Linked DNA regions of Cricetulus griseus. The protein of the gene in region 1 purifies or fractionates together with the protein of each later gene. This does not show direct contact. Links are inferred from orthologs where the notes say so. Each region holds a gene or a part of one and is shown on either strand. Other genes may lie near its edges. The genes, in order: Kpna2, Phf10, Mta2, Polr3c, Hnrnpu, Prmt1 and Kifc1.

Evidence for each region.
Region 2: the proteins of Kpna2 (region 1) and Phf10 purify together in Homo sapiens (co-immunoprecipitation; 3 studies listed by BioGRID and IntAct, with this or other methods). This does not show direct contact. The link is inferred for Cricetulus griseus from reciprocal best matches to the Homo sapiens genes KPNA2 and PHF10.
Region 3: the proteins of Kpna2 (region 1) and Mta2 purify together in Homo sapiens (affinity purification with mass spectrometry; 4 studies listed by BioGRID and IntAct, with this or other methods). This does not show direct contact. The link is inferred for Cricetulus griseus from reciprocal best matches to the Homo sapiens genes KPNA2 and MTA2.
Region 4: the proteins of Kpna2 (region 1) and Polr3c purify together in Homo sapiens (co-immunoprecipitation; 3 studies listed by BioGRID and IntAct, with this or other methods). This does not show direct contact. The link is inferred for Cricetulus griseus from reciprocal best matches to the Homo sapiens genes KPNA2 and POLR3C.
Region 5: the proteins of Kpna2 (region 1) and Hnrnpu purify together in Homo sapiens (affinity purification with mass spectrometry; 3 studies listed by BioGRID and IntAct, with this or other methods). This does not show direct contact. The link is inferred for Cricetulus griseus from reciprocal best matches to the Homo sapiens genes KPNA2 and HNRNPU.
Region 6: the proteins of Kpna2 (region 1) and Prmt1 fractionate together in Homo sapiens (co-fractionation; 3 studies listed by BioGRID, with this or other methods). This does not show direct contact. The link is inferred for Cricetulus griseus from reciprocal best matches to the Homo sapiens genes KPNA2 and PRMT1.
Region 7: the proteins of Kpna2 (region 1) and Kifc1 purify together in Homo sapiens (co-immunoprecipitation; 4 studies listed by BioGRID and IntAct, with this or other methods). This does not show direct contact. The link is inferred for Cricetulus griseus from reciprocal best matches to the Homo sapiens genes KPNA2 and KIFC1.

Annotation. Positions count from the first base shown.
Region 1 is NC_048600.1:119,941,067-119,944,890, forward strand, and holds part of Kpna2 (importin subunit alpha-1), read right to left. Parts: intron 3,506-3,824; coding exon 3,237-3,505; intron 2,899-3,236; coding exon 2,804-2,898; intron 2,715-2,803; coding exon 2,451-2,714; intron 2,155-2,450; coding exon 1,921-2,154; intron 1,651-1,920; coding exon 1,468-1,650; intron 1-1,467.
Region 2 is NC_048595.1:293,991,549-293,995,358, forward strand, and holds the end of Phf10 (PHD finger protein 10), read right to left. Parts: intron 2,322-3,810; coding exon 2,213-2,321; intron 1,942-2,212; coding exon 1,753-1,941; intron 1,491-1,752; exon of another isoform or gene 778-1,490; coding exon 692-777; 3' UTR 583-691; downstream 1-582. UniProt on the Homo sapiens protein: Involved in transcription activity regulation by chromatin remodeling. Belongs to the neural progenitors-specific chromatin remodeling complex (npBAF complex) and is required for the proliferation of neural progenitors.
Region 3 is NC_048596.1:51,151,918-51,156,475, reverse strand, and holds the start of Mta2 (metastasis-associated protein MTA2), read left to right. Parts: upstream 1-1,628; 5' UTR 1,629-2,081; coding exon 2,082-2,109; intron 2,110-2,382; exon of another isoform or gene 2,383-2,435; intron 2,436-3,599; coding exon 3,600-3,667; intron 3,668-4,104; coding exon 4,105-4,198; intron 4,199-4,558. Other genes in the region: Eml3 (echinoderm microtubule-associated protein-like 3), read left to right, coding at 286-384, 631-761, 847-1,050. UniProt on the Homo sapiens protein: May function as a transcriptional coregulator. Acts as a component of the histone deacetylase NuRD complex which participates in the remodeling of chromatin.
Region 4 is NW_023276806.1:59,781,818-59,785,641, forward strand, and holds part of Polr3c (DNA-directed RNA polymerase III subunit RPC3), read left to right. Parts: intron 1-830; coding exon 831-911; intron 912-1,130; coding exon 1,131-1,182; intron 1,183-1,457; exon of another isoform or gene 1,458-1,596; intron 1,597-2,099; coding exon 2,100-2,160; intron 2,161-2,503; exon of another isoform or gene 2,504-2,528; coding exon 2,529-2,679; intron 2,680-3,693; coding exon 3,694-3,795; intron 3,796-3,824. UniProt on the Homo sapiens protein: DNA-dependent RNA polymerase catalyzes the transcription of DNA into RNA using the four ribonucleoside triphosphates as substrates.
Region 5 is NC_048598.1:15,817,393-15,821,932, reverse strand, and holds the start of Hnrnpu (heterogeneous nuclear ribonucleoprotein U), read right to left. Parts: upstream 2,897-4,540; 5' UTR 2,687-2,896; coding exon 2,074-2,686; intron 1,055-2,073; coding exon 943-1,054; intron 856-942; coding exon 782-855; intron 1-781. UniProt on the Homo sapiens protein: DNA- and RNA-binding protein involved in several cellular processes such as nuclear chromatin organization, telomere-length regulation, transcription, mRNA alternative splicing and stability, Xist-mediated transcriptional silencing and mitotic cell progression.
Region 6 is NC_048599.1:153,870,389-153,874,685, forward strand, and holds the start of Prmt1 (protein arginine N-methyltransferase 1), read right to left. Parts: upstream 2,850-4,297; 5' UTR 2,779-2,849; coding exon 2,743-2,778; intron 515-2,742; coding exon 461-514; intron 256-460; exon of another isoform or gene 156-255; coding exon of another isoform or gene 153-155; intron 1-152. UniProt on the Homo sapiens protein: Arginine methyltransferase that methylates (mono and asymmetric dimethylation) the guanidino nitrogens of arginyl residues present in proteins such as ESR1, histone H2, H3 and H4, FMR1, ILF3, HNRNPA1, HNRNPD, NFATC2IP, SUPT5H, TAF15, EWS, HABP4, SERBP1, RBM15, FOXO1, CHTOP, MAP3K5/ASK1, MICU1 and NPRL2.
Region 7 is NW_023276806.1:232,113,044-232,117,589, reverse strand, and holds the start of Kifc1 (kinesin-like protein KIFC1), read right to left. Parts: upstream 2,939-4,546; 5' UTR 2,792-2,938; coding exon 2,780-2,791; intron 1-2,779. UniProt on the Homo sapiens protein: Minus end-directed microtubule-dependent motor required for bipolar spindle formation. May contribute to movement of early endocytic vesicles. Regulates cilium formation and structure.

The DNA.
Region 1 (3,824 bases):
CATACAGATAAAAAACAAAAAAATAATATATTAGTCTATGCGTTAATTATATAAAGTAAGATTCCTTCCAAACAACTTTTTTTGTTGTTTTCAAGACAGGGTTTCTATGAAGCCCGAGCTACCCTGAACTTGCTCTATAGAGAACAAGAGATCTGCCTGCCTCCTGAGTGGTATGATTAAAGGCAAGTAACACCCACCCTACCTGGCATCCAAATTTTCAACTTTTTTTTGTTGTTTTTTTTTTTTTCGAGGCAGGGTTTCTCTGTGTAGTTTTGGAGCCTGTCCTGGAACTAGCTCTTGTAGACCAGGCTGGTCTCGAACTCAGAGATCCACCTGCCTCTGCCTCATGAATGCTGGGATCAAAGGCGTGCACCACCAACACCAGACCCCAAATTTTCAACTTTTAACTGATTCCTGTGAGCAGGAAACCTGGCCACATGACAAAGATTTACATACATGTAGGCATGAAACACCAGTGACTCCTTTCTCTAGACTCAACTTTCTTTTGTAAAAAGTTCTAGTTTACTCTATAATCTAGACTGGCTTGGAACTATGTAGTCCAGGCTGGTCTTCAACTCATCACAGTCCTCCTGTGTGCTAGGATTTTAAGTGTGAGCTACCAATACCAACTTACACTCAACTTGAAAAGTTCCAGAACTAGTAGAAATACTATCACAAAATGTCAGATGCTGGCACACTTGAAATCAAATAGGGATAGGGCTGGGGGGCGGGGAACGACACTTATTTCAATTAAATCCCCAGGTGGAAGTGGCACAGGCCTCTAATCCCAGCATTCGGGAAAGATTAAAGGCAGAGGCAGGCAGATCTGAGTTTGAGGCCAGCTCGATGTACAGAGCAAGTTCCAGAACAGCAACGGCTACAAAGGCAGGCAGGCAGGAGCACCAAAATACAAAATCAAACCATGGGACTAGTGAGGTAGTTCACCATATAAAACTGAGTGTGGAGTGTGGTGAAAACCATGAGAGGTGGAGGCAATAGGCTCAGAAAGAAATTCAAGGACATCTCCAGCTATATAGGGAGTTCAAGCTAGCCTAGGCCACTTGACACCTTCCCATCCTTAAAGGAGCTAGAGAAGTGGCTCAGTGAGTGGTTAAGAGCTTTTTTTCTTGCAGAGGATGTGGGTTTGATTCCCAGCACCTATGTGGTCAGCACACCAGTATAACTCCAGCCACGATCCACATAGAATTTTTCCTTCTTTCTGAGACAGGGTTTCTCTGTTGAGCCCTGTAGACTAGGCTGGTCTTGAACTTACAGAGATCTGCTTCCTCTGCCTCCTGCGCCACCACTGCCCCACTAAGAATTCATTAGTAAATGTACAAAGTAAGGCTGCACATGAACACCCTTCTGATTCTGCAGACTATTAGTAATCAAACTTACCTGTCCTCTCCCCAGTCCTAAATAGTAACTATCAACTCAATTCAAACACACAGCCTTGTTAGGACTTACCTGAAAGATATTTGAAATGGCATCAAGAATAACCAAAATAATTTTGGTATCTTTTGCACTTAAGAGGTTCATCAAAGGTTCTATTATGCCACAATGAACAAGATACACAATCTGTTCAACAGTCCCACCACTGGTGTAGTTGGTTACAGCCCATACAGCTTCCTTCTGTGTCTTAAAGTCTGCCTGATAAGCAAGAAGAAAATGGTTTTAGTTCAGAAACCCGAGAGGTTAGACTCCAAAAGGTAGGGTTTGTTCCACAGACAGAACTAAACTACCTGCTGGTTCTACCCAACATTAGGAGGTGCTTGCTGCCTGTTACCTAACAGAAGCTCGCTGTCCTCAAACTCAGAGATCCTCCTCCTGTCTCTACCTCCCAAGCCCAGGGATTAAAGACATATAGGCTGTCATAAATATTAACAATCTTCTGACTACATCCTACACTCACTTCATTACCTTAGAGAGGACACCAACAAGATATGGGACTAAGCCATGATTCACAACTTGCTGTATCTGGTCCTGGCGTCCAGCTGTGATGTTTGACATTGTCCACGTGGCCTCCTTCTGAATATTAGTTTTGGAGTTTGTTAGCAGGTTGGGAAAAACTGCAAGTGCTCCTGCATCTATCACAATCTGAGTCTGTTCATCTGTTCCAGTGACAATATTCCCTATGGCTCTGAGTGCAGGAGTCTGAAATAGAAAAAATGTTGCTGCAGATTAGTTACATGGTATTATTCTTCCAGGCTTCTAAAAATTCGTTCCCCCCCCCCCAGACAGGGTTTCTCTGTGGCTTTGGAGTCTGTCTGCCTCTAACTCAGAGATCCGCCTGCCTCTGCCTCTCGGTGCTGGAATTAAAGGTGTGTGCCACCATCACCCTAAAAATTCTCTATTCAAAAACTTCTACAAAAGTCACAGGCAGTATCAATACTACCAACTGATTATGCTCTTGTACTATTAAAGCTCGTAAATAAAAGGTCAGTACTTACCACAATTGGCAACTCAGTGGCTCCTAGAAGCTTCACAAGTTGGGGCACAACTCCTGTCTTTACAACCATTTCAATCCGCTCATTTGGACCATCAGTCAAGTAGGAAATAGCCCAGCAGGAATCTGCTAATACTTCTGGGTCATTGTGATGCAGAAGACGAACTAAAGTAGGAAGAATCTGCTCAACAGCATCTAGGGGGGGTGCAGGATTCTTGTTGCGACAAAGGTTTGAAAGTGTCCAGGTAAGGTTGCGTAAATAACCACACTGTGGGGAAGAAAAGTTAATTATAAGGCTCATTTCTGAGTAGATGGGGAAAATAAGAACCAAATACTTTATTTATGGTATTAACTTACTGCCAAGGAAGACAGGTCAGGAATTGCAAGAAGTGCCAACAGTGGGTCAACTGCACCATATTTGATAACTAAATCTCGGAAAACTGAACCATCACCTGAAACAGAAAGCAAGATTAGCTGGTGAACACCTTTAATTCTAGGATCTATTTTTGTGAGTTCCAAGCTAACCTGGTCTACAGTCAGTGGTAAGCAGTGAGACCCAGTTTCAGAAAAAAAAAAAAAAAAAAAACACGATGAATGAGTGAATCTGCTACTGAATGACTGTCACATACTCAATCGCTTCTCCAGCAGCATGGTGAGATGCCTCTTCCCCTCCTAATATGGGAGGGCCTAGAGCAAGCTCAAGGCCCCACCCAGAAGTCACCAGGACCTTTAACAGTGTCCTTTAATCACACTGGCTACATTCAGTCCAAAGAATTTTAAGTACAAGTACCTGCAATGTTTCCAAGAGCCCAAACAGCTTGCTCGCTGATGTGAGCATGGGGAGATGCCAAGAGAGAAATGAATGCTGGGATAGCACCTCCATCTACCACAGCCTTGGTCTGTTCCGACGTTCCAGAAGCAATGTTAGTAAGTGCCCAAGCAGATTCAAACTGAATGGGACTACAATCCGTTTTGCCCAAGAAGGACACAAATTTTGGGATCAAACCAGCCCGAATGATGTTGTCTATAGGAGGTTGTTTCTCCCTAGAAAGCAGTTTCCTAAGGGGAAACAAAAAAAGAAAATCAAAAGTTGAAGTTTATTTCCAAGGTACCTTGAAAATAAAGGTATCTAAAAATCTGTACAACATGGGAAAGACTGAGGCAAAAGGATTGTGCACTTAAGGTCAACCTAAGCTACCTGAAATCCTATTTCAAATGTTTTAAAGGGGGAAGAGGATGGGGAGATGGTTCAAGTGCTTGCCACCAAGCCTGACAACCCAGGACTCACATGATGGAAAGAACTCCTGCAAGTTGTCCTCTGATTGCCACAAAAATAAAAACTCACCTAAGAAAAAATTCTCATGGAAACAGGACTGGA
Region 2 (3,810 bases), on another chromosome or scaffold:
ATAAAAAGGAGTCTGCTCAATAAAATGTTTAAATACATTTTGGTTAGTCAGGTGAGTAAGAAGATTATTGCAGTAACAGGCTGTATAACTCAGATAAAGGCTGGTGACTGTAGAATGTATTCTGTAGACATACTAAATGGAGTACGGCACTTGCAGTTTTAAAGAGGTTCTAAAGCCAGGTCGGAAAAGCTTCCCAGAGCCACTGTGCACAGTAGGGATTGTGGAACCTGATACTCTCCTGGCAGGCAAGCATTTACACATTGTTGCTGTGCCAGCTGGTGACTATTCCAAATCCAGTTGTACCAGATGGTTGGGCCCTCTGTCCTTTCCTCTGTTGGCCAGATTGGAGTGCTCTGGTTATTAAGTAACTGATACTACCTAAGCAGGTCAAGACAGTCTCAAAAGACTGTAACTTTTCAGACTCAAGAAGAAATATTTCAAATTAAGTTGCTACCTCTTTCTGCTGATCTCTGGAAAAAGACAGCACTAAGAGATTAAAATCTGGGAAATGAGACATTTCTCTCTGACTTTTTCTTTCAAGGGTATGAGTTGCTACTAATGAAATAAATCAACTTGAAGATGTTTAAGGTCATAGTTAATTTCAAAAAAGGTTCTTTATTGGCATAAAAATGAAAGTGTAAATAAAATGGCACCAGATATCCCAAACTGAGGGTCAGGTCAAAAACCTATTTTATCCCTCTTTGCTGTTTTTTCCCCTTCTGCCCACTTTCCTGGGTGTTGGGGGAGCTCGCTGACAACAGTCACAAATCCAGCGACCTAGGAGAAAAATTGTTAGTTAATATGGAGTGGAATTTTATTTTTATAGGACTGAGTACAAACCACCTAAACTCATTCCTGAGCTGTCCATAGTGATAACTCTCTGGGATTTTTTTCAGTGGGGAGGGAAGTACTGAGCTCCTTAAGCCAAGGGAGAAAATGTAAACAACCCTTAATCAGTGTAACCAATACAATTCGGAATTCAATGCACAGACAAGATGGGGAAAGGGCACAAAACAATCATTTGTACCTTAAAAAAATATGTAATCCTAAAATTCAAATACCATCATGCTTTTAAAACCTCAACAACACAATCCTAATGTAGAACTTGTTAATGGATCTGGCTTTGTGTGGCCTGTTCCACTGTTCTGACACTAGCACCTGCACCACACACTTGAGCTGAATTACTGCAGAACCTGAGTGATTATTCACATCCTTACGGAGGGATTCCAGGAAACTGAGTTTTATAGAGAACTATACAGTGTTAACTATGCAACTTAAGTCCTTAAAATTGCACAATTACCTGTATAATGTTTCAATAGGATTACTGTGATTTACTATTTGATTCTGTGTCCATCCTAAAGTTTTCTGGAATTGTCATGCTGCCTCACTTTATAGGAAGATGTCTTAGTATATATATAAAGGCATAGCAGTCACTTTGTTAAGTTTCTAAATAGACGAACTTAAAAATAAAATGAAAGCATTGAAACAAACTGGTGGTGTTACTTTAGCAATTTTAGTAGAAAACACCAGCTCATTCTATCCCTCAGACAATACTTCCAAACCTAACCTAAGTATTCTATTTCAATTCTCCTTTGGTTGCACTAAGGATGAAAATCAGGTAGCTGTGACATGGACAGTAACAGCTTGATCATAATTGGAACATGTTCATGTCATTTATACAGCCTTAAAAGAATGCTGGGAGATCTTCATCACACAAGATAATGGGCTTTTTTGTATTTTTTTCATCTTTACCTGATGGAATAGCACCAAGGCCCACACAAAAAGTATGATAACCTCTGTCACACACATCACAGAACATCATTTCTTCTTCATGGTGGGGCTGTCCACATATAATGCATGTCTTACATTCCATACACTGCCATGGGTAGGTCTTAATTATAGAAACAAGCTCCATGGTCATATCCAAGCAAGAAGGGTGGCCTAAATCAAAACCAACATTAATAGGATTTCACAACAGAACTTTCAACTTAAGGCACATAAAACATTAGTTCCCAAGAATGGCTGCCAGGATTAATGTTACCATAGACACATCAAAATACAAAGTAGCAGATACATGGGTTCTGACTACAGCTAACAAGTCACTATTCATTTGCTGACTCTTTGGTGGATACCTAGCTGATAACTACAAACCCTAGCTTTTAAGGCAATATGCAGGGGTGAGGTAAAATCTTAAGGAGACATCTCTACTTACCACTGTTATCACACTGGGAGCAGTGTATAAGTGATTCAGCCTTTCCTTTCTTGTTGGATTCCTTACCCTTCAGACAAATTCCACATAGAGCATTTGGAATGACCTTTGGCTGGAAGGGTAGAAGAGGGCTATAAATTCATGCCAGAAGAACTCACTATGGGTTCAAAAGGGATTCTGTTATTACCTTATCTTTACTTTTGGTAATCTGATAATGAAAACCTTTTTGTAAGACATAACTGGATATGAGATGGATCAGAATATAAAACCCCCAACTAATGAAAGCCTAGACTGTACTCCATAAACCGCATCAACGTGTGTTGCCTAAATGTAGCACTCTGCTCCCTACACACACAGCATCATCTCTATAAAAAAAGACCAGAAGGAAAAATGAAATAGGATGTCAAATGCCACTAATAGTTGGGAAAGAAAATCCATATACCAAATAACCACACATAAAGCTAAGCCTAAGTTTTAAGCTTATATTAAGCTTATGTTCATTTTATTTCAAAAACTGGTGTTTTTCCAGTGATAGAGCTAAGCCTACAAAATCTAAGCTAAAAAAAAAAAAGACACTATTTCAGTATTTTAATTGGAAGCTGTCTTGTCCATACATTGTCATGCATAAATGTCTATAGAAATCTGAGTTGGATGCATAGTCTTGTTCCATGTCTAAAAAGAACTATGATAAAAGAGAGAAGCAGTCACTGTGACGTGTAAAACATAAAAAGTTTTTGGGCATGGAAAAACTATAGTCAAATAGGAAATATACAAAGCATATTTTGAGTATTATCTTTCACATTAAAAACACACACAGTATTTGGGCTTTAAACATGGAATGGGATAAAATATAAGGAGTTTCCTACACTTACAATGCCAGGGCAAGGAAGGGATAACAGAGCATCATAATCTTGACCGTCACGGACGCTGCTCACATGTACTATATATAGGTGTGCGTCAATAAATGGTTAAAAGGTGGGAGGGACAAAGATGGTAGCAGGGCAATAATCTAACACAGTCAAACGCATTGCATCTCTTTCCTGATGCACCATAGAGATCTAAACTCAAACTTTTATAAAGCAGTCTCACTTTAAATGTTCCACTGCCACTTTCGTACCTTGTCAAACCTAAATAATAATTTGCTTTTACTTTTTTAAAAATATTTTCTTTGCAAAAGATGACAGAGGCATTCAAAAACAATTTTTGGCTTATTTATTTTTTTAAAAAAGTCAACCTTATACATAAATATGATAAAAACAATATCTAAACAATCACAAATGTCTCTACAAAATAATAAATATCATGGAGTTAAACAAACATATAAAATGTCCCCATTGACTGCTCTCCATCCTCTGTGTATTTTATACCCTGCTCTCCCGGCATCTGACAGCAGCTGTTACTCAGCTACTCTTGCTGCACCCTAAGCACATGGCTTCACTGTGTCCAGGTTCTCAGTGAAAAATAGCTAGGAAGTTCACTTCAAAGACTGAATCTTAACAGCCATAATATGCAGGAAGAACTTTCAATAACCTGTACTAAATGTAAAAGATAAACTTACTTAATGCTTAGAGTTCCCTTAGACACTGGCATAGTAAGTACTC
Region 3 (4,558 bases), on another chromosome or scaffold:
TCTTTCTTTCTTTCTTTTTTTTTTTTTTTTGAGACTGGGTTTCTTTGTCTTGGCCCTTGGCTATCCTAGAACTAGGTTTGTAGACCAGGCTGGCCTTGAACTCACAGAGCCTCTATCTCCAGAGTGCTGGGACTAAAGGTGTGTAACAACCATCCTGGCTGGACTTAGATTGTCTTAAAGTCAAACGAAATCAAACTACAGTGAGAACTCAGAAATCACATAGTGAGGTTCATAATGGATCAGGTCACCTTCCCAGCTGAGCTGGTTGGGGCAATTTCTACCTAGGGGACGTGGCTGGAGGCTGCAAGCTTCTAAGGAATCGCTATGAGAGCAGAGACCGGGAGTGGGCTACCTACACCTGTGTGCTAGGCTTCCACGTGTATGGTAAGTAGTGAAGCCAGCATGCAGCCGAGCCCTTTAGCAGGGCTGGGAAAAGAAGGTGGAACCCATTCTTGGATCAGAATGTTGGGTGTGTGTCATGTGTCATGGCGGGGGGGGGGGGAGAGGCAAATCCAGGCCAACAGGTCCCTTTGGGAATGGAGAGGATTGTCTGGAGGTAGCCTGGAAATCCTAAGCACTGCAGCTCTAGGTTGTGGAAAGTGCCCTGGCTGAGGCTACCTGTTGTGTTAGGTGTGTGGCCTGATGGCTCTGATGGGACAGACATCAACTCCCTTTGCCGCTCCCACAATGAACGTGTGGTGGCTGTAGCAGACGACTTCTGCAAAGTACACCTTTTCCAGTATCCGTGCGCTCGAGCCAAGGTGAGTCTTTAGAGGACCGTTGGGCCCCAGTGGGTAGTCTTGGGACCCTATCACTGCTGTGACTGTACATTTTTTTCTGGTGCAGGCGCCAAGCCGTATGTACTCAGGCCACGGCAGTCACGTGACTAGCGTCCGGTTCACGCATGACGACTCATACCTCGTCTCCCTAGGTGGCAAGGACGCCAGTATCTTTCAGTGGCGAGTGTTGGGCGCTGGGGGCTCTGGGCCCTCTCCTGTCACGCCTTCTAGAACTCCCTCTCTGTCCCCTGCCTCCTCCCTGGACGTGTGATGAATGCTGGATGGTTTTGTCCCTCTGGTACTGTGGCCTTGCCCCGCCCTGGCCAAAACCCCTAGGACCAAGTGCAGCCCTTTTCCTGGGCTGGCTTTTTCTTTGATTTCAGTACATTCCCAGTTGCGCATTTTCCTGGAGGGGCGAACCGCCCCATTGCACACACGATAACGACTCGCTGGCTGAACCAGGCAACCCCAGCTCTGACTCCCTTTGCCTGGTGAGGGGCAATAAAAAGAAAGAAAGTCACCGCTTGGTGCTTTTGTGGAGTGCGGCGGTTGCCTCAGGGGCCCGGTAGGGTTGGGATGAAAGAAAAAAGTGCAGGGCGGGAAGGGAAAAAAGGAGCTCGGACCAAATATGCAAATAACAGGCAAAGCGGCTTGCAAATAACCTCAAGAAGCGCGAGGGTGCGCGCGCGCCTTGCGAGGCCACTGTCGGAGCTGCAGGGACACATAGAGTAAAGAGTTAAATGCGGCTCCCTGCCGCCCTCGGGGGCGGGGTCGAGCTGCAACGGAAATAACCGAGCGCGGGGCCGCGGCTGAGCGAAAAGAGCCGAGTTCCTTCCGGAAGTGGCCGATCTGCGGGGTCTTGCTCTCCGACCTGAGCCGAGCGCTGGGCCTTGTTCTCCGGATCGGCCGAAGGTGTTCCGGAAGGAGGCGAACCCGGACGCGGGCAGGGCAAACCTTCTCAGGGGCTGGCACCATACGGCGTCTGCTGGGACTCGGTGAAGACGCTAGGAGCCGGAATCTGTCTCCGGTCAGGCAGGAACCGAGCTCGTTCCGGAAGAAGCCGAGCAGACCGGCGCCGGCCTGGGTATCCCGGGCGTGAGGCTATAGCAGTGTCGTCGTGGTCTTCGTGCGAGCAGTGATGAACCGCGACGGCTGAGCGAGCAGAGGTGCCGGCTGCGCGGGCCCCATCGACACTTCCGCGAAGCGTCAGCCCCACGCTGGGGGCATCGTCTGGAGCTAAGCTTTACCCCCGCGAGCCTCCGGGTCCTCTTTGTGCGGCCGGAGGCCGCGGCGGGAACGGCCATGGCGGCTAACATGTACCGTGTGGGAGGTGAGTACACCGGGCGGAAGAGGTTGGGGACGGGACCAGGGAGACTCGGTGTCCGCAGGCGCGGGGAGCAACATCTGGGGTCGTAGGGGCCACAGCGCCGACCGGAACCGGAACCGAGACCTATGGTTCCGCGGCGGCGACGCTACTGGGAGCCGAGTCTCCCGCAGAGGCTTACCTACAACGATCGGTGCTCTTGAGTCTGCGACTGGATCCCGGGGTGGGAAGTAGGCTTGGTTTGGAAGGGGACTGAGTGACTGCGGGGCCAGCTGCGGGGAGCCAGTCGCTCAGGGGTTTTCTTTTCTTTGGCGGCTTGTTCGTTCACGAAGGTGAGGCCTGAGGTGGGGGGAACAATTTACTCAATTCTCCCACGCAGGGGTGCAACTCCAATGCAGAGTTGTGTGGACTACAGGGAAATCCTTGTTATCTTTTTCCCCCTCCTCTCTCACTTCTTGGTTTTTCGACTCTGTCTGTCTGTCTCTTTGGTTTTTCGAGACAGGGATTCTCTGTAGCTCTGGCAGTCCTGGAACGCACTCTGTAGACCAGGCTGGCTTCGAACTCAGAGATCCTCTTGAGTGCTAGGATCTGACTTTTGAGTGAGAATCTGATTTTAGCGCTAAGTGTTGCAAGGGTGGGAGTAAAAACTTTTCTCCCTCCCCCCCCGCCCCCCCCCCCCGGCTGTCTTAGAACTCAGGAAATAGACCAGGTTGGCATCGGACTCAGATCCACCTGCCTCTGCCTCCCTCTGCTGGGATTAAAGGTGTGAGCAATCACTGTCTGGATAATTCTTTTATTTCTTTTCTCGTTCTTTTTTTTTTTTTTTTCCTCGAGACGGTTGATACTTATTTTCTTTTGTTTTCTCGAGACAGGCTTTCTCTGTCTATCCTTGGCTGTCCTGGAAATTGCTCTATAGACCAGGCTGTCCTCGAACTGGAAGAGATCTGCTTACCTCGGCTTCCTGAGTGCTGTTGGCCACCACTGCCCAACTAATACTTTTCTTTTGCGGGGGTGGGGGGATGGGGGGTGGGGTTCGAGACAGAGTTTCTCTGCGGCTTTGGAGGCTGTCCTGGAACTAACTCTGTAGACCAGGCTGGTCTCAAACTCAACAGGGAACCACCTGCCTCTGCCTCCTGAGTGCTGGGGTTAAATGCATGCGCCACCACCTTCTCTAATACCTATTTTCTTTTCTTTTTTTTTTTTTTTTTTTTGGTTTTTCGAGACAGGTTTTTCTCTGTGTAGCTTTGGAGCCTATCCTGGAACTCGCTTTTGTAGACCAGGCTGGTCTCGAACTCACAGAGATCCACCTGCTTCTGCTGGGATTAAAGGCGTGCATCACCAACACCCAGCTATACTTCTTTTCTTAAGTCTTTCCTCTTGCACATCTCCACATCTCTACCTAGCATTTTGTCTTTTTTTGGTCCACCCAAATCCACTTTCTCTTCTGGGTGCTCTGGTTTTCTTCTGATCTTGTTTCTCCCCACCCCCTTCTACAGATTACGTCTATTTTGAGAACTCCTCTAGCAATCCTTACCTGGTTAGACGGATTGAGGAGCTAAACAAGGTGAGTGGAGCAGAAATGGAGCAGTTTCTTTCTTCTGGAGTCTAACTCCAAGTGGAAGGGAGAGCCAGCCTTACCTAGGCTTAGAGCCTATACAGGTGAGCGAGCGTTCATTCCATGTATAGAGCTGCTGAGAGCTTAGCTGAAGCTTTATCATTCTCACATCTGGGGATAAAAGAATCCTGTCTCTGTTGTTTTTTTTTTGTTTTTTTAAATATACAGTGTCTATTTTGCAGCCTTGGTTGCCTGGAACTTTCTGTGTGATCAGGTTAGCAAACTTATGGAGACCCATCTCATTGGTCCTGTAATTATCTTTGAATATTAAGTCTTCATTGCTGAGTTTTTGGCCTCTTCTACTTAAGTCCTTAGAGAGTGCCTGTTAGTGTACCTCCACTTTCAAATGGCTAATTTTCATTGCCCTGTTTTTCTTCCTTCTTTAGACTGCCAATGGCAATGTGGAAGCAAAGGTTGTCTGTCTCTTCAGGAGAAGGGATATTTCTAGTAGCCTCAACAGCCTGGCTGACAGTAATGCTAGTGAGTGTCTTCATTCCTTCCCCTTTCCCCCCTCCCCAGGATCTGAGGACTAGACTTGTTCCTGCAGGTGTTTCCCCTGGTAACACGCCCAAGGCAGGGTATGAGTTTGGAGGTGGGAAGTGCCTGGTCTGCAGAGCAAGGCCTGTTGTTACATGTTGGGGCTGGGGCTGGAAGCCGGGTGGGGAGACCATGATCAGAAAAGCCAGAATGTGGTGTGTGTGTGTGTGTGTGTGTGTGTGTGTGTGTGTGTGTGTGTGTGTGTGTGTGTGTGTGTGTAAGGAGAGATACTTAGATAGGGAATGAAAAGAGCTTTAGAGAAGGCACGTGGGGACATTTTGGGTACTTTGGGACAGTGGTTAG
Region 4 (3,824 bases), on another chromosome or scaffold:
ACATGCATGAATTTTACCTGTTTAGAAAGATGCTGAGGATTGCTTGAGTTCAGGAGTTCAAAGCTAGACTGGCCTTTCTCATGAAAGCCTTAGCATTTTAGACATTACATTTCTATTACTTTTATAATTACACTTACTTAAGTCTTGTTATTATACTTTATATTATTTCTAAGTTTTTGTAGTTGGTTGATTTGTTTGGACAGGGCCTGGTCTGGAACTTGCTCTGTAGACCAGGCTGGCCTCTGTTTCCCTATGCTATGATTAAAGGCCCTGCTTTCTGAGTTTTTGACCCTTGTAAATTTGACCCTTGTAAATTTCATGAGTTTCTTGAGCCTTGTAAGTTTTAGCTTCCAGAGTCTTAAGAGCCTCCCTCTGGAATGGAAAGTTTAACTTTGGAGACTTTGGCTACACAACAACCCACAGTCTTCCCGTCTCAGCCTCTGGGATAGCTGGTATTAACTGCAGATATGCACCACTGTACTTGGTTGTACTTTCCTTTAATTAATTACTTATTAGTAGACATTTGGGTTGTTTCTTATTTTACTCTGTTTCTGTCAGGGTCTGACTATGCAGCACTGACTATTTAGAACACACTCTGTAGACCAGGCTGGCTCCAAACTCAGAGATCCACCTGCCTCTGCCTCTCAAGTTCTATGATTAAAGAGGCTCACCCCCTTGGCCTTTGTTTTACTCTTATAAACAATGATATATGAATATTTTTAGACATTTTTATGTTTTGAAATCTAACATTAGGACATCTGGTTTCAGTCGTGTTAGCAGTTCTGCATTCCCAGGCCCCACTTCCAGAATCCTCTTCTGTTTGTTCACAGATCTTCAGGTCCCTGCCTGGCAGCTATAACATCTCTAAGCAAGTCCTTGATCAGTACCTCACACTGCTGGCTGATGACCCAGTAAGTCTCCTCACCCTCTTGGTCTAGTTAAAATTTATCTCTGCCACTAAATCCTAATATTCTCCTGTAGCCTTCTTGTCTACTTAGGCATCCCAGACAAAGTCCCCATCATTCAGCAGAAACTACCTGCTTCAGATGCTTGGCCAGATTTGCTCCACGGCAAGCAGAATCACTGGACTTTACATTCAACTAACATCATTTACTCTTTCTTTTTTACAGCTAGAGTTTATTGGAAAGTCTGGCGACAGTGGTGGAGGAATGTATGTCATCAGTATCCTTGTCAATTGTCTGTTCTGTCAGAACCCCTGAGTTTGGAAGCAGAAGGGTGACCTAGAAAAGATTGTTTTTTGTTTTCTGTTTTTTTTTTTTTTTTTTTTCATTGAAATAGTCTCATGTAGCCCAGGCTGACCTTGAACTCACTGTGTAGCCTAGTTGTTAGCACTGAACCCCTGATCCTCCTGCCTCTACCTCCCAAGTGCTGGGATTAGAAGCATGTGCCACCCCAGGAAAGGAGTTTTCTGATCCCTAATATAACTAAACAACTTCAAAAGTTGAAATAACTTTCTATTAATTTTCTGTGAACTTTCAGTGAGTTACATTAATGAAAATCAAAACAGCCCGGGACTGCCATCATTCGGTAGCGCCTCACTCACAATGTACAAGGCTCTGGGCCAGACCAGCAGCCCTGCAACAGAGAAAGAAGAAGGTGGGAGAGGTGAGGCAGAGAGCTGGGGAAAGGGAGTATGATGGTCAGTGCTTATAATCAGAGCAGCTTGGAGACCGAGACAGAAAAGTTGAATGTTCAAAGTCAGTCTGGGATACATAGTAAGATACTGTCTCAAAAAAGGGGGGAGAGGCTGGAGAGATGGCTCAGTGCTTAAAAGCACTGACTACTCTTCCAGGGGACCCAGGTTCAATTCCCAGCACCCACATGGAAGCTCACAACTGTAACTCCAAGGTCTGACACCCTCACACATACAGGTAAAACACCAATGCACATAAAGTAAAATTAAGAAATAAGTTTACTTAAGTAAAATCCTTGCAAATGTTAATATACTTATATTATACATGAATTGTGAAGAGCAAAAATTATTTAATTTTTAGTTATAAACTTGGAATTTAGTCATAAAACTAAGTCACAATGACCAGGCCAAACATTACTGAATGCCCTTAACCTCTACAATAAAGACCTCCATAAGGCATTGGCCTCCCTAGCCACCGCGACTCTGGAGTCTGTCATCCAGGAGAGGTAAGAGGCTCTCTGATTGGGGTTGGACTCAAACACTTTCTAGCCGCACGCCATTTAACAGGTAATTTGGTTTTTATGGTATACTTTGCCATGCACACTTTCATCTTCCAGTGAAACTATTCTTCTCTGTAAAACTAATTCCTAGTTAGTAAATTAACCAGCCATCCTAAAGCTCTGTAATACAAGAGCCGTGGCCCTCAAAGGAGTGGGCATTTGGTGACAAGTTATGATTAACAGTGCCATCACCAACTTCTGAAGCTATGAAAGGACTCTTGACTGCTGTCCCCCTCTGCTCCTGACCCCACATATGGAATAGTACATCCACACTCTGAGATAAATATACCATGTGTTTCTTTGTTCCTTCCCAGATTCGGGTCTCGCTGTGCCAGAATATTCCGTCTGGTATTGCAGAAGAAACACCTGGAGCAGAAGCAGGTGGAGGACTTTGCCATGATTCCTGCAAAGGAGGCAAAGGATATGCTGTATAAGATGCTCTCAGAGAACTTCATATCACTCCAGGTAGCCACAGCTTTATTGCCTGCCGAGCGGCAAGCCTGACCAAGGCAGGAAAACCTCCTAAGGAAGTTACTTTGGGTTCCCAAGACAGACACTACAGCCACCTCTGAAACAGAAAAAAAGGATTAACACAGACATAGCAAATCCATGAAGAATCATGTAGAGTTTATCTGGCCTAGTAAGAGAGACAGGCAGAGCACACCAAGAAATCAGCTCTAGGCTGTAACTTTCCTGCCCTTTTCAGCCCCCAGCCCATTACTCCTGACCTTCTGAGAGCCTTAAATCTTTAATAACTCATTCAGCGTATCTTGGACCCTTGTAGAACTTATGTTGGGGAACTCTGTTGAGGAAGCAGATTGAATGGATCAATTCACCAAGCAAGTCAACTACCATCATTTCCATGTCTGTAAAATGGTGGTGAATGATGAGATAAGAACAGTGCAGGGCCTGGTGGTGGTGGCACTTGCCTTTAATCCCAGCACTTGGGAGGCTGAGGCACGAGGGTCTCTGAGTTCAAGGCCAGCCTGGTCTACAGAGTGAGTTCCAGGACAGTCTCCAAAGCTACAGAGAAACTCTGTCTCAAAACACCAAAAAAAAAAATAAATAAAAATCAAACAAACAAAAACAGTGTTGTTTAGGCCAACTGTGGTAGTGTGTACCCAGTACTTGGGAAACTAAGGCTGGAGGATTGAAAATTTGAGGCCATCATAGCTATGCAGTGTTACACTGTCTCAATTATTAATAAGTAAGGTATTATGAAAATCAAATACAATCCTCCTGGCATGTGTAGAGTTTATTCAGTAAATATTAGAAGCCTTTCCTTTCTTTCAGGATGCTGATAGAAAAATAGGAAGCCAGGCAGCCTGCTTCATGTGGTGATTATGTCATAAACATCACTATTGATTGCCTAGGGAAGAAAGAAGTGTCAGTAAACATGAGGGCTGACTGTGCCAGTGGATGGGTGTTTACTTTGCCAGTTCCAAAGAACAATTTCTCTTTATTTCTGTGGACATACAGGAAATTCCTAAAACCCCAGACCATGCCCCATCCAGGACCTTCTATCTGTACACGGTGAATGTACTGTCGGCTGCCAGGATGCTGTTGCACAGGTGCTATAAGGTAACAGAATTCGGGCTTTCTCCGTCCCT
Region 5 (4,540 bases), on another chromosome or scaffold:
TTTAAAACTCTTTATTCAAGCACCTTTTGTTCTGCTCACACCAAGCATTATACATCCCTATCAAATACTAAACTAACAAACTTCTTGAAAGGATCAAAATACAAATCTGACAGCTAAAGCCCATTTCATGGCTTGCAATACTTCCTCATACTCTAAAGTAGCATATTTACAGCGCTGCCATTGATACCATTCGCTGCTGAAGAAAGCTAGTGGCTCAGATAGCCCACTGCTGCTGCCCCAGGTCTTTGGAAGAAATCAACTTATGTTAGAGCAGCAGCTACTGAACTGGAATTGAGAACAAAAGAGCAGTTATTGAAAAGGTAATATGACAATCCTTAGAATAGGGAATGTACTTGTGCGCTAATGGGAAAATCGTTAGTAAGTATTCAACTAGCCCAAATAGCTCACTTAATATAGTAGCTCCACAGAAAAATTTTAATTTTCATATTACCTATCTAAGGACATGTTACAGGCAGGTTTTAAAAACAAGTTTCTGAAAGCTGAACAAAAATCGGTATTAGTTTTACATCCCTAAATATTGGGAACTTCCATGACATAAGTATCAATTAGTAGAGCTTGTAAAAACAGCAATACAACTGAAGTGTCGCTAAACATAAAACTACTGTAACCTGAACATGAGCTATTATCTTCCTGATTTAAAACAATCTAACGGGTTTTCTCCACTTTAAGATATACAAACACACTTTTCCTAAGAGTTAAACCAAAATAGCACTGCACTTAAATATTTGAGAAAAAGAGCGGGAAAGTTTGCTTCACTTACAAGTATCAAGACAAACCACTGTGTCATCGAAGTGTTCGTCTTCTTCTTCAACAGGTGGCTGAGGAGACTTGGCTCTGAAAGACAGAATCGTCTCCTGATAAAGCTTTCCCAACCACGCATAAAAACTGGGTGACAAATAAAACTAGGTTAGGATCCTCTACCTGCTGTACTTGTTTTCTTCAATGTACTCAAAATATCCTCGGCCATGATCTTCTCGCGGTCTTTTAACACCTCTCTTTTTATCTCCTCCTTTCTGTTCTGTTTTACCGTCTCCTATAACGACACAGAACACAGCCTTAAATCATCAGGCCACAGACTGAATTATAGAGAAAAGCTCCCGTTTCTGTTCCGGGACTTTTAGGGGCTGTTATTTTTTCCCTCCTAGACTGGATCTCGGACTTTTTTATTTTTGGTTTTTCCAGACAGGGTTTTTCTGTGTGGCTTTGGAGGCTGTCCTGGAACTAGCTCTTGTAGACCAGGCTGGTCTCGAACTCACAGAGATCCGCCTGCCTCTGCCTCCCGAGTGCTGGGGAAAAAGGCGTATGGCACCAACGCCAGGCGAGTTCTGAGACTTTTTAACCCACGAAACTAATATGAATCTAGAAAAAATCGTATCCATCAGCCTGGAACTGCACTGGAGACGGTGACGCAGTCTAAAGACGCTGCTAATCCTGCCAGCCTAGGGTAACCTTCCGGAATGCATTTAAGGACTAAAACCGCGCGCCCGCCGTCCGGGCCCACGTGCTGCGCGCCGTGCGCGCGGCGGCGGCGGGGGGTGTGGGGGGGAGGGCAGGGCAGCGTGGGCCCGCCTCCCCTCCCCCATCCGAGCCCGCGTGCCCCGCCGCCGCATTGTACTGAGCTTCCGCCTCACTCCCCGCGCCCGGCGCCTCCCGCCGGAAGTGACGTCACACCGAGCCCCTGCGCTCCTTGCACAATACCGCGGCGCTGAGCCGCCAAAGCCCGCCCGCCCCGGGACCTTCCCCCTCCCCCCAGACATGTGCCCGAACCGCGCGCACGCAGCGCTCCAGCGGCCGCCGCTCCCGCCCGGCTCCTCCCCCACCGCGGCAGCTGCAGCTCCCCCCGGCGCCCGACACACATAATGGAGGAGGCGCCGCCGGCATGGCGAGCCCATCCTCTCGGCGGCCCCGGGGCTCCCCCGCCCCCCCCGCCCGCCCGCGTCGCTCGCCCCTGGGGCCCCGGCCGGCCTGGGGCACGGTCCCCACGCGGGCCTACAAGCCGCGCGCCCGCCCGCCCACCACGCAGCCCTCACCCGCCGCCTTCCGCCTTCCTACCTCCGGCCTGCGGCTGGCCCTGCCTCGCCCCGGGCGGCGCCACCGTCACCGCGAAGAGCGAGGTGGGGCCGCTGCTCTTGCCCGCGGCCTCCTTGCCGGCCCCGCGCTGCTGCGGGGTCTGCGGGGCCGCCGCCGGCGGTTGGGACTGCTGCTCCCCGTGGCCGTTCTCGTCGCCCGCGCCCTCCTCCTCGTCGCCGAGCTCGTCCTCCCCCTCCTGGAAGCCCTGGTCGTCGCCGTTCTCGTCTTCCGACGCCGCCTCCTCCTCCTCCATCGCGCCCGCGTCAGCCGCCCCCGCCGCCCCGTTCTCCTCGCCCAGCTCCATCTGGTCGCCGTCCAGGGCGGCGATGCCTTCCTCCTCCTCGTCGTCTTCGGCGCCGGTCGCGGCCTCCTGCTCGAGGCCCGTCCCCGAGCGCCCGGCCGCATCGCCGCCCAGGTCGAGGCTGCCGTTCCCGGGCTCCATGGCGGGGCGGCCGCCGGCCTCGTTGTCCAGCGCGGCCTGGAGTCGATCCATGAGATCGGCCTTGAGGCCCTTGTCGGAGAGGCGCCGCTTCTTGAGCTCCTCCTTCAGCTCCGACACCTTCAGCTTCTTGACATTAACAGGCGAAGAACTCATGGTGAGGGCCCCGGTTCACCGCGGACTGCTGGCTCCCTCGGCCTGTGGCGGCGGCTGCTGGTCGGCCCGGGCGGCGGCTGCGGCTGGAGATGGCTGAGTGCTGCAGAGCGGACCCGCCTGGTGTCGAACGGCGCCAATTCCTTTCACCGAGTTCGCGAGGCAAGACGCGGAGACTCGCCTGGCGCGAGCGAGCACGCAACGTCCTCTCGCCGGGGCGGCGCCGCGCACGTAATATAGGCGCCCCGCCCCCTGCCGGGGCGGGGCTCGCTAGGGCGGCTGCGCGCGCAGGCCCCGCCCCTTCCCCGCCCCGCCCCCACGGGGCGACCTCGGCGCTGGGCCCCGGCGCGCAAATGGAGGCTCAGGAAGCCGCCTTTCGGTTAAACCGACTGGCCGCGGCGGCCGCCGGCCTTTCCGGCTTCTCGGCGGCCGCGCTCCACGGGCCGTCCGCCTCCGTGGGCCCGGAGGAGGCTCCCCTGCACCCGCCCTGCGTCCTCATCTGGCATTTCCCGCTGGAGGACACCCTCCTTTCTTCCATCTTAGTTTGTCTTTTTTTTTGTCTGTCCCTCCGGCTCTCGCTTTAAGACTCCGCCAAGTTTCCGCTGCTGCTCCGCAGAGCACAAATAAGCGGCTGTTAGACAGAGGTGGTTTTTTGTTTTGTGTTTTGTTTTTTTCTTCCTCCACTTCATTGCAGTTTAATTTTTTACAAGCCCTGCCTTGCCGATCGGACTTTTTAAGTTCCGCAAGGGCGAGGCCCCAGCGTTTCTTTTGTCTCTTCCATACCCGGTGGTGCAAGGCCTGGGGAGGCGCAGGCTTGCCCTACCGCTCCGTGCCGCACGGCATGCAGTGTGGGCCTTGTGCACTTCTCACCGTCTTTACTAGTGACCCTTGAGTAACCCCTAGAATTGCATGGAAGATTCCCCTAGACTCACTGTAAAGACAGGCCTCTTGCAGGAAGGACTTCCCTTAGTTAACCATGAGAGGGACATCCAGCTAAATTTTAATGCACTTTGATTCTCCCCGTTTTTTCAGACACACACTGAGTTGTCTACACACTTGCAGTCCTATCTCTTGGCAGACTGAGGCAGAAGTATCAAGAGTTGAAAGCCAGCCAGGGCTACATAGTAAAGTCCAGGCCGCCTTGGGCTGTATAGTCAGACAGACCCCATCTCAAACAAACAAACAAAAAATTGTTGCTATTTTTCTCTGTAATTAAAAACATGTTATGTTCTTGAAACTTTTAGGTAGAAATAGAATTTATTTTCTGCACGGGCCATTCTGTGTAGATTGTGCCTAATAGGTGTGTTTATACAGGTCTATAATTACAACCCTTGGGAGATGCAGGCAAGAAGATCAAGAATTCAGTCAGCCAGGCAGTGGTGGCACACACCTTTAATCCTAGCACCAGGGAGGCAGAGGCAGGCAGATCTCCCAGCTCCAAATATCCTGGTGTACAGAGCTATTTCCAGGACAGCCAAGGCTAAATAAAGATGCCTTGTCTCAAAAAACCAAAAAGGTTGTGTGTGTGTGTGTGTCATCTTTGGCTACATAAAGAATTTAAAGCTAATCTGGGCTACCTGAGACCCTGTTTCTACAAAACCAAGTACTCTGGCAGTAAAGCTATGGTTGGCCCTGTCTTCTTTCTGTGCATCTGAAACTTGAAAGCATAGAAATGAAGTTTATCCTATTTGGCTAATATAACTTAACCTGTTAATAAAATGATTCCTTTGGTTGATTAGTTTTGTTTTTGTTTTTTTTTTTTTTTTTTTCTTCTTGAGACAGAGTCTCTAATTAGCCCCGGCTGTCCTAGAGCTCAATATATAGATCAGGCTAAGATCCTCCAGCCTTTTCCTCCTG
Region 6 (4,297 bases), on another chromosome or scaffold:
GTGGGCTCTTCAGAGGTTCCTCAACCTGCAAGAAGGCCCCTCTTCAGAATGGGACAGCCCTACAGCCCCCTCCGGCATCTTTCTTCCCAAGGGACGGTATCCACTTCAGAACCCACCCAGAGCACCATCCAGGGAGCAGCCGCCTCGCCTACCATCTCTCCAGGCTCTATGCCCGTCTCTAGCTCAGCCCACAGCTGGGGAGGGAGGGAAGGGAGGGCAGAGCCAGGGCAGACACATTGAAAGCCAGAGGAGGAGGGCTGGAGATGGAGTTAAGGAAGCAGCCATGGTTCTGGGGGAGCCAGCTTGGGCCAGGAAGGGGTCTGTCCTATGTGTTTAGGGGCCACAGCAGGGGAAACTGGTTTGAAGCAAGAGGATGAATAGACCTCCTGAGGAGCCAGGTGCATATCAAAGTATGCTTATATGCAAGTGGGCTGGGGGGGTCTCACAAAAGGATATTTACTTCTTCAAGAGGCGGCTGGAGGCTCATCCCATTAGCCAAGGTGGCTACAAAATTCTAGGAGAGAGTAACAGGGAAAAAGGGTTAGCTACTGGGGTGGCTGGGGAAGGCCTTTGGGGCAGTGAGTGTTTTGCAGGTTGGCTTTTCCTGGGCATGGGAGTGGTGTAAGCAGGAGCAAGCAGTGTGGCTGCAGTTGTGTAAGGAAGGGATACAAGTGGGGAGGGAAAGGAAGGTGGGGTCTCCTGTCCCAGCTGTTGGCTGAAGAGATGGTGGCCCGCCCCATGTTGTCCCTCTCTGGTCAGATAACTGGCCACACATACCTACCCTATCTAGGCCAGAGGGCCCAATACCTGCCAAGGCACATGGGCACTTTCAGCTGTTGCTCCCCTTCACTACCTAATCCCCCCTAGATTAGGTGACATTTCCTGACAGACACACCAGGCTGAAGTGCCATGAATAAACCGGAGGGGGCTGACAGGTAATGGGTGCTGGGCACCTGTCTGCCCCATCACAATCCTGTCTCCTGGCCAAAGATCATTCCAATAGAGAAATGTGGCATACCCCCACACCACAGTGAGTACACCACCCCAGCTCCACCCGGGCAAGGAACACACAGAGCAAGGCTCTTTGTTTTACCTGCCCCCGGAAGAGGGCTGCCCCCCAGGAGTACAAAATATGCCTTGGAAAGCTGGGGCAAGCTGTTACGATAAATATTTCTGCCAAAATCCGCCTGAGCCCCACCGCCACGTGTGAGCTTACGAAAGCCCCCCCTTTCACACCCCACCTTGGTCCCCACACTGAAAACTGCCCTCTTTTTCCTTTGTCCACAAGTGCCAGGCCCAGGGTCACTTCAGTGACACTGTAGGCGAACTGATCCCCATGGCAGGTGTCCCAGCAACTGACCTTCCTCTCCAGAGAACTTGAAGAGGTATGGGTACCACCAGATTATATCCCATCATTATCCCATTAGATAGATGACTGCTATCTAAGGCCAGAGAGGCCACGATCTACCACCTCAGGGGTCGGGTAGCCAGTGGGGGGAGTTCCCATGTGGGCCTCTCTTTTTCAGTAGTACAGATACCAGCAGGTTAACAACTGACTGAAGAGGGTTTGTTCTGTTTCTGGCTTTTTTTTTTTTTTTTTTTTTTGAGACAGGGTTTCTCTGTGTAGCTTTGAAGCCTGTCCTGGAACTTGTTCTAATGGGCCTTGAACACACAAAGATCCGCCTGTCTCTGCCTCCCGAGTCCTGGGATTAAAGGCATGCACCACCACACGGCTTCCTGAAGAGGGTTTGAAACCTGAGACTAGGAGAGGATCTGATTTACAGGCCTAGTAGTGAAGTCTTTCACGAGAGCTACCCGGAAGGCTTAAGCAAAGATGGCAAGTTCAAGGCCAGCCTGGGCTACAGGGTGAGTTCAAGGCCAGACCCACTTTGCATCAAAGTTAGTAAAAAGTGGACTGAGGAATACAGCTCAGGGGTGGAAACACTCAACTGTAAGCAAATAAGCCAGGTGCTAGAATTTGATTCTGTTTTGGGGGGGAAATTAGGCAAAGGTGAGAATCCTAAAAAAGGGGTCGGGTGGGGGTCAAGGCCCCTTGGTCTGCGTGCCTACATAGCCATCCAGCCCCAAGACCGACCTCTGACCATCCACCCGAGGGCGCTTCCATGAGGGGGTGGGCTTTGGGCCACGCCCCATGAAAAAGAGCCCCTTTCACAAGCCCATAATGACCACGAGGGGGTGCCCGGCGCCGGATCCGGATCTCCTCGGTGGAGATGCCCCACCATCCTCTAACAGAGAGGTCACAGGGCTCTGCCCATCCCCCCCCAACCGCACAGGGGTAACTCAGAGTGGAGGAAAGTGAGGTCAGGCCCCACGAGGGTGCACGGATGTCCACCACCCAGCGGACAGCAGGACGCAGGTGGCACCCCCCAGGACCCCCGGAGTGCAGCCCAGGTCACCGGGCCGGGGGCGGGGCCTTTGTCCCGCACGTGGAACCCGCGGGGCCCCTCGAGTGGCACACCCCCCTCCCCACGCTACGCTGCGCGACCACGTGCGGCCCGGCTGGACGCGCCCCCGGCCCGCGACCACGTGCGACGGCCCTCGACTCGACTGCGGGGTCCGAGAGTCCCATAAGCTGGGGTCGCCCCGGTCACGATTGAACACATCCCCCGATGCGGACCTCCGCGAGGCCCAGCACACCCAAGGCCCCGTCTCCACAGTTCAGGCCGTGGGTAACCCGTCGTCCTCCCCCTACCCACTGGCCTAAAGAGCCCAGCTACTCACCTCCATGATGCAGTTCGCGGCCTCGGCTGCCGCCATCTTCACCCGAGTCCTCCGGCCTCCGAGACCCCCCCCTTTCTTCTCTCTCCCCCCGGCCGGGGACCGCCTTTTACCAGAGGGTCCACCGCCCGGCCCCCGAGACCCCGCCATAAGTTTCCAATGGCTGGCGCAGCCGTCAATCTAACCGCCTCGCACTGCAATTGGGCGCTGAGCACGTCTATCAAAATTCGGGCGCCCTCCCCTCCTAGCGTTCAAAGGACCACCCCCTCCTGTCGGCTAGGAAGGGAACAACTGTCTGTCTATCTTAGGCAGCGCATGTGATGATTGGAGGATATCCCACCAGGTCTTCCCGCCTCCTTCCGGCCAGCTCCGCCTTGAAGCTTCCCGGCGGGCTCCGCGCTAAGCGGATGTCGAGAGACTCTGCTGTGGATCATTAAGATGGCCCGCCTCTCCGTCGCCGCAATTAGCTGAGCAAAACGTGACGTTGCAGGGCTCTTGTTCCAGTCCCTTCGAGAGACTGGCCAAGAACGACAGGGACCATTGGCCCACAAGGAGGTAGGCGGGGCTTTGGGCGGAAGCGATTGGCTCCCAGGAACATCAGTCATCAACGTTCGGTGGCTTCTCCGGAACTGGGGCGCGTGGGCGAGCTAGGGGAAAATGCCGAGTCGCTGTGAGTAGATGTGGAGGCGTTCTCATCAGGGGTCCTGAAACTTGTCAGGAGTCGTAGTGAATGTCAGTGCGATGAGCCATAACCTTGTACTGGACTGTGCCGAGTTCTGAAGACCTGTGGCCTCCTAGTCCTTTGCATGAAACACCCATCTCCCTTTGTTTGGCCAACTCCCACGCGGCAATTTGGACTCCATCTCCTCCAGGAAGTTTCCCTGGATCTGCAGAAAGTTACTCCTGGCCTGAAGATGGATGCCAATTGCTGGGTTTGTGCCCCTGCCTCTTACCTTTTGTCCCACCAGTACTCGGCCCAAGCACAGGGTCCTTTAAGTTCCCAAATGTGCCTCTCCACTCCAGGCCTCCTCGTGCTCAGATGACCTTCTTCCTTCCGACTCCTAACACTGTTTAGTGTGCGTGTGCGTGCGTGTGTCAAGTCTTGAGCGGCAAGCACTGCACCATCTGCTGCACACGTAAGGTATCTGGTGTGAGGCAGAGTCTCATGGTACAGCCTGCCTTTGTCTCCAAAGTGCTGGGATTTAAGGCTTGTGTAAACTTCTTCCAGCCAGTATGATTTTTCTTTTTGTTTTTTCGAGACAGAATTTCTCTGGCTGTCCTGGAACTCGGAGATCCTCCTGTCTCTGCCTCCCAAGCGCTGAGATTAAAAGTGTGCGCTACCATTGCCTGGTTCAGTATGATTTCTTGATTGACTCCTGCCTATCCTGCTACTTCATCCCAAATATCAATAGCCTCTGGGCTTTTCCCTCCAATTCCCTCCGTCAGTTTTGTCAATCCCCAAGGCCTTCAGCCCTAGTGCTCCCACCTGCCAATCCCTGCAGCTCATCTCTGCCTATGGCCTTTTTGGGCCTCCCTGCACCCCCAGGACAATGTCTCA
Region 7 (4,546 bases), on another chromosome or scaffold:
ACCTCAAACCTACTTCTGAGGACTTAAATTTCTTAAAAACTATCACTGCCTCCTGTAAAACCTGTCAGATGTCAAACCCTAACTCCAGGTATCGTAACTCCCCTTTTCCCACCCACCAGGCTAGGGGCTCTCTCCCAGGGACTGACTGGCAACTTGACTTCACCCACATGCCCACAGTCAGGCGAGTTAAATACCTCCTGGTACTAGTGGATACTTTCTCAGGATGGGTAGAAGCGTTTCCTACTACTAACAAGAAAGCTCAGACTGTCTCTAACATCCTTCTCAGGGAAATTATCCCCCGGTTTGGGATTCCAGCCTCTCTTCAGTCAGACAATGGTCCTGAGTTTACCTCTCAGATCTCTCAAACCCTGTCTAAAGCTCTCAATATTCCTTGGCATTTTCATATTCCATACCACCCCCAGTCCTCAGGGAAGGTGGAGAGAACTAACCGTTCTTTAAAGACTGTTCTGGTTAAAATGTCACAGGAACTTCACCTTGACTGGGTAAAGCTTCTGCCTCTGGCCCTTTTCAGGCTTAGGGCTCTCCCTAAACAACCACTTTTCATCTCACCCTTTGAACTCATGTACGGGCGGCCGGCTCTAACACCTGGCCTCTCACCTAAACCCTCGCCTCTCCCTGACCGCTTGCTCACACCTTTACTTCATCATCTCCGTTCCCTCCTTTGGGAATTTGCTGACCACTCTCTACCTCGGCCATGTGCCACCCCCTGTACCTCTCCAATTAACATAGGGGATCAAGTACTTCTTTCTCCCCCAGACCAGAGCCCCTCCCCCCTGTCTCCTAAGTGGAAGGGCCCTTTCAAAGTAATTCTTGTCACTCCAACAGCAGCTAAGCTTGAGGGCCTTCCCCACTGGATTCACTTATCCCACCTCAAGCCCTTTACTTCTCCACCTGAGACTCACCCTTCATACACAGTTTCTACAACAGGACCCTGTTCCCTTAGGTTTCAGAGGACACTGAAATCATCCACTTTACCTCCTATTTCAGAAGAATAAGGCTCAATTTTTACAAGGCTGTTTTCTAATTACACTCTGCTCATTAATTTCCAAAGTATTTCACAATAATTTACTTAGCTGTTGTTACAGGAATGCCAGCCAAAAAACCATGGATCTAAAGATACAAGGATCACCAAGTGTTTGTGCCTTCTGGTTAAAGGTAACCAGAAAGATTTCATACCACCTAGATATGATTTAATATGTCTAATCTTTGTTTTCCCAAACTTTAAGGACTCTTATAAGTTCCAGGGAGCCGAATCAGATCCAAACAGGTCAGATTCACTCCAGGTAATATCCAACCCTTCCCCAGTCCCAATTTCCCTTCCCTCATCTTGGGACTCCTCGGGAACCCCTCCCTCATCTTACAATCTTCCCGTCAAATGACAGGACCTAAGAAAATTTTTTTCTAAACTTAACCTTGTCCTCTATTCTACAAACATCTTGCCAGGTCTAAAAGGCACCAGAGTGGCTCGGACTACAATGAAACAACAATCAACTCCAGGACGTGGCAGCACCCCCAACCCCCCAAAGACGATCAACGCCCCAGGCCAGCAGGAAGCAGCCTTAAGACATCTTCGCCCCTACTTCCCTAACCTGCCACGCCCAATTCTCTAACTTTTATAATAAACAACAGCCGGGATTGTAAGAACAAAACACTTGGATGACCCTAACCCCGCCCCCTAACAAGCGAGTACTCACTCACCTGCCATGCCTTTCGACCTTTGCCCTACTGCGCATATGCAATCTTCCCTTTAAAAGGTCCTGCCCCACACCCCTCACTCTTTTTCTCTCGGCTTCCCTAGGATTGGCTGACTGCCCATCCCCTCTTTCCCCCCTCTCTGATAAATAAACTCCACGTGGGTTGCTTATTCGTTGTTCCTTTCCTTATTAGCAGCTGCAGCTTAAACAAAAGAACAACAGTGACTGACTCTCTGAGACTTTGAGGCCAGTTGGATCTACAGAGCCAGTTCTAGACCAGCCAGGGTAACATGGTCAGCTCCTGTTTCAAACAAACAAAAACCAGAACAACTTTACTGCTGATGAATTAGCAGTAATTCACTCGAGAGCCAGAGGCAGGTGGATCTCTGTGAGTTCGAGACCAGCCTGGTCTACAGAGTGAGTTACAGGACAGCCTCCAAAGCCACAGAGAAACCAGAAACCCTCTCTCGAAAAACAAAACAAAAACAAATATCACTCCAATCAGTGTACAAAAGACAGGACAATTTCCTCTAACCTCAAAAGCCCCTCTCTCCACAGTGTTCTCTGGTAGACACTGCCCTTAGACTGTACTGAGCATCAGATATTTACACTGTGATTCACGGCAGTAGCAAAATTACAGCTACCAACAATGTTATGGGCAGGGGGCACCACAACACGACAAACTATATTAAAGTCACAGCATTAATAAGGTTGAGAACCAGCGACAGAGAGCAGTCTCTGCATTCAATTTATCTCCTAAACAAATCTCACTTCCAACATCCCAACAAAATTGCCTTCCTCCAGCCGGGCAGTGGTGGTGCACTCCTTTAATCCCAGCACTAGGGAGGCAGGGGTGGGCAGAGTTCTAGAGTAGCCTGGTTCACAGAGCAAGCTCCAGGGAGCCGGGGTCACACTCCCAGTTTCATGTTACTGAATCAGTTTTAAATTATGTTTCTTCTGGGTCTTTCCTAGCCATCCACCATAGTGGACGGATTAAAGGCCCTAGCTAACATGGGGTTAGCACGTTAACCAACTGCAATAAAGCCGGGCCCCGCCGCGCTCACCTGCGCCTGCATGTCCACTGTGCTCGGCCCGGGACGGGATGCAAGGGAAGGAAGGGGTCCGGGGCCAGCGACCCGGGGCCGTCGTCCTCTCGCGAGCCCGCGCGACGCAGCCCGAGCAGAGCCTCCGCGAAGTGGTCTGGAGCCGGGATAGCGCCGCACCCGCCACTTTTGAATTTCAACCGCCGCGCCGCGCCGCGCACTCACCGCCGTCCGCGGAGGCCAATCGGCGCCGGCGACACGGCCGCGGGCCAATCCCAGGGCTCCCCGCCCCGGGGCCACGCCCTCGGCTGTGCCGGCCCTGGGATCCCACTTCCGTATCCGCTTTCCCTTGGTGCTTGTTTTTGTTTAAACCCCGCCCTCTCCCCCTCTTTCGCGCCGAGCGCGCTGCACTTCCGCTCGGCTTCCCGAGGCGTCGGCTGCGTCAGAAGCGCGCGTGCGTGGAGGAGCCGGGGGAGGGCGGGTCCGCGGGAGGGAAGGCAACGCGCATGTGCCCAGGCGCCCTGCGCAGCGCCGGGGCGGAGCGAGCGCCACCTAGAGGAGACCGCGGGAAGTGCAGGCTCGTCGCCAGCCCGACAGGTGTGACGTTTGCCTAGAATGCTGAGGTCCCCCGAGTTCAATCGGCAGCGCAAGAGGAGAGATAAAAGAAGGGGGGGGGGGGGAAGCACGAGAAGGCGGAAGATGAGACTACAGAACCGTTGCAGTGTGTTTCCAAATGTCATGCGAAATGGCATGGTAATCCCTGACCTCCCTTCCTGCGCCCCTAGATAAGTAAATGAATATTGTTCGTTTTGTCTGGTTTTTCGAGACAGGGTTTCTCTGTGTAGCCCTGGCTGCCCTGAACTCCATCTGTTGACCAGGCTGGTCTCGAACTCACAGTTCCACCTCCTTCCCGAGTGCTGGGATCAAAAGGCCTGTGCCAGGCTTGGGGAGATGGCTCACAGGTTAAGAGCACTGGCTGCCCTTCTAAAGGTCCTGAGTTCAATTCCCAGCACCCACACGGTGGCTCACAGCCATCTGTAATGAGATCTGCTGCCTTCTTCTGGAGTGTGTGCAGGCTGAACGCAATATATGAATTTTTTTAAAGGCTTGTGCTTAGCCGGGTGTTGATGGAGCACGCCTTTATCCCAGCAATCAGAAGGCAGAGGCAGGTGGATCTCTGTGAGTTCGAGACCAGCCTGATCTACAACAGCGAGTTCGACAGCCTCCAACACCACAGAGAAACCCTGTCTCGAAAAAAACAAAAACAAAATAATAATAATGCGTGTGCCACCACCTCAGGCTCAATAAACAAACTTGTTTAATTATAAAAGTGTAGCCAGAAAAAAAAAATTGCCGGGCGTTGGTGGCGCACGCCTTTAATCCCAGCACTCGGGAGGCAGAGACAGGTGGATCTCTGTGAGTTCGAGACCAGCCTGGTCTACAAGAGCTAGTTCCAGGACAGCCTCTAAAAAGCACAGAGAAACCCTGTCTCAAAAAAAAAAAAAAAAAAGCAAAAGTTTTAGAGATTAAGAGAGGGTGTACTTTACAGAGTTTAATAAAACCAAGGAAAGGAATGGAAGACAGGCAGCCGTATTCTCTACTGGGAATACTTTGTTTTACCTGTTTTAAAGCACATAGTGTCTTCTCCTGGGCTGTTCTATTTTGCTCTCCTTCTCCCTGTCACAGAGTCAGGTGGCTGCCTGAACCAGGAAAAAAAAGATCTTGGAGGAAACTTCTAAACAACCATGCTTGCATCTGGAGAAAGCAGGCTGTAACCCAACTCCAGTG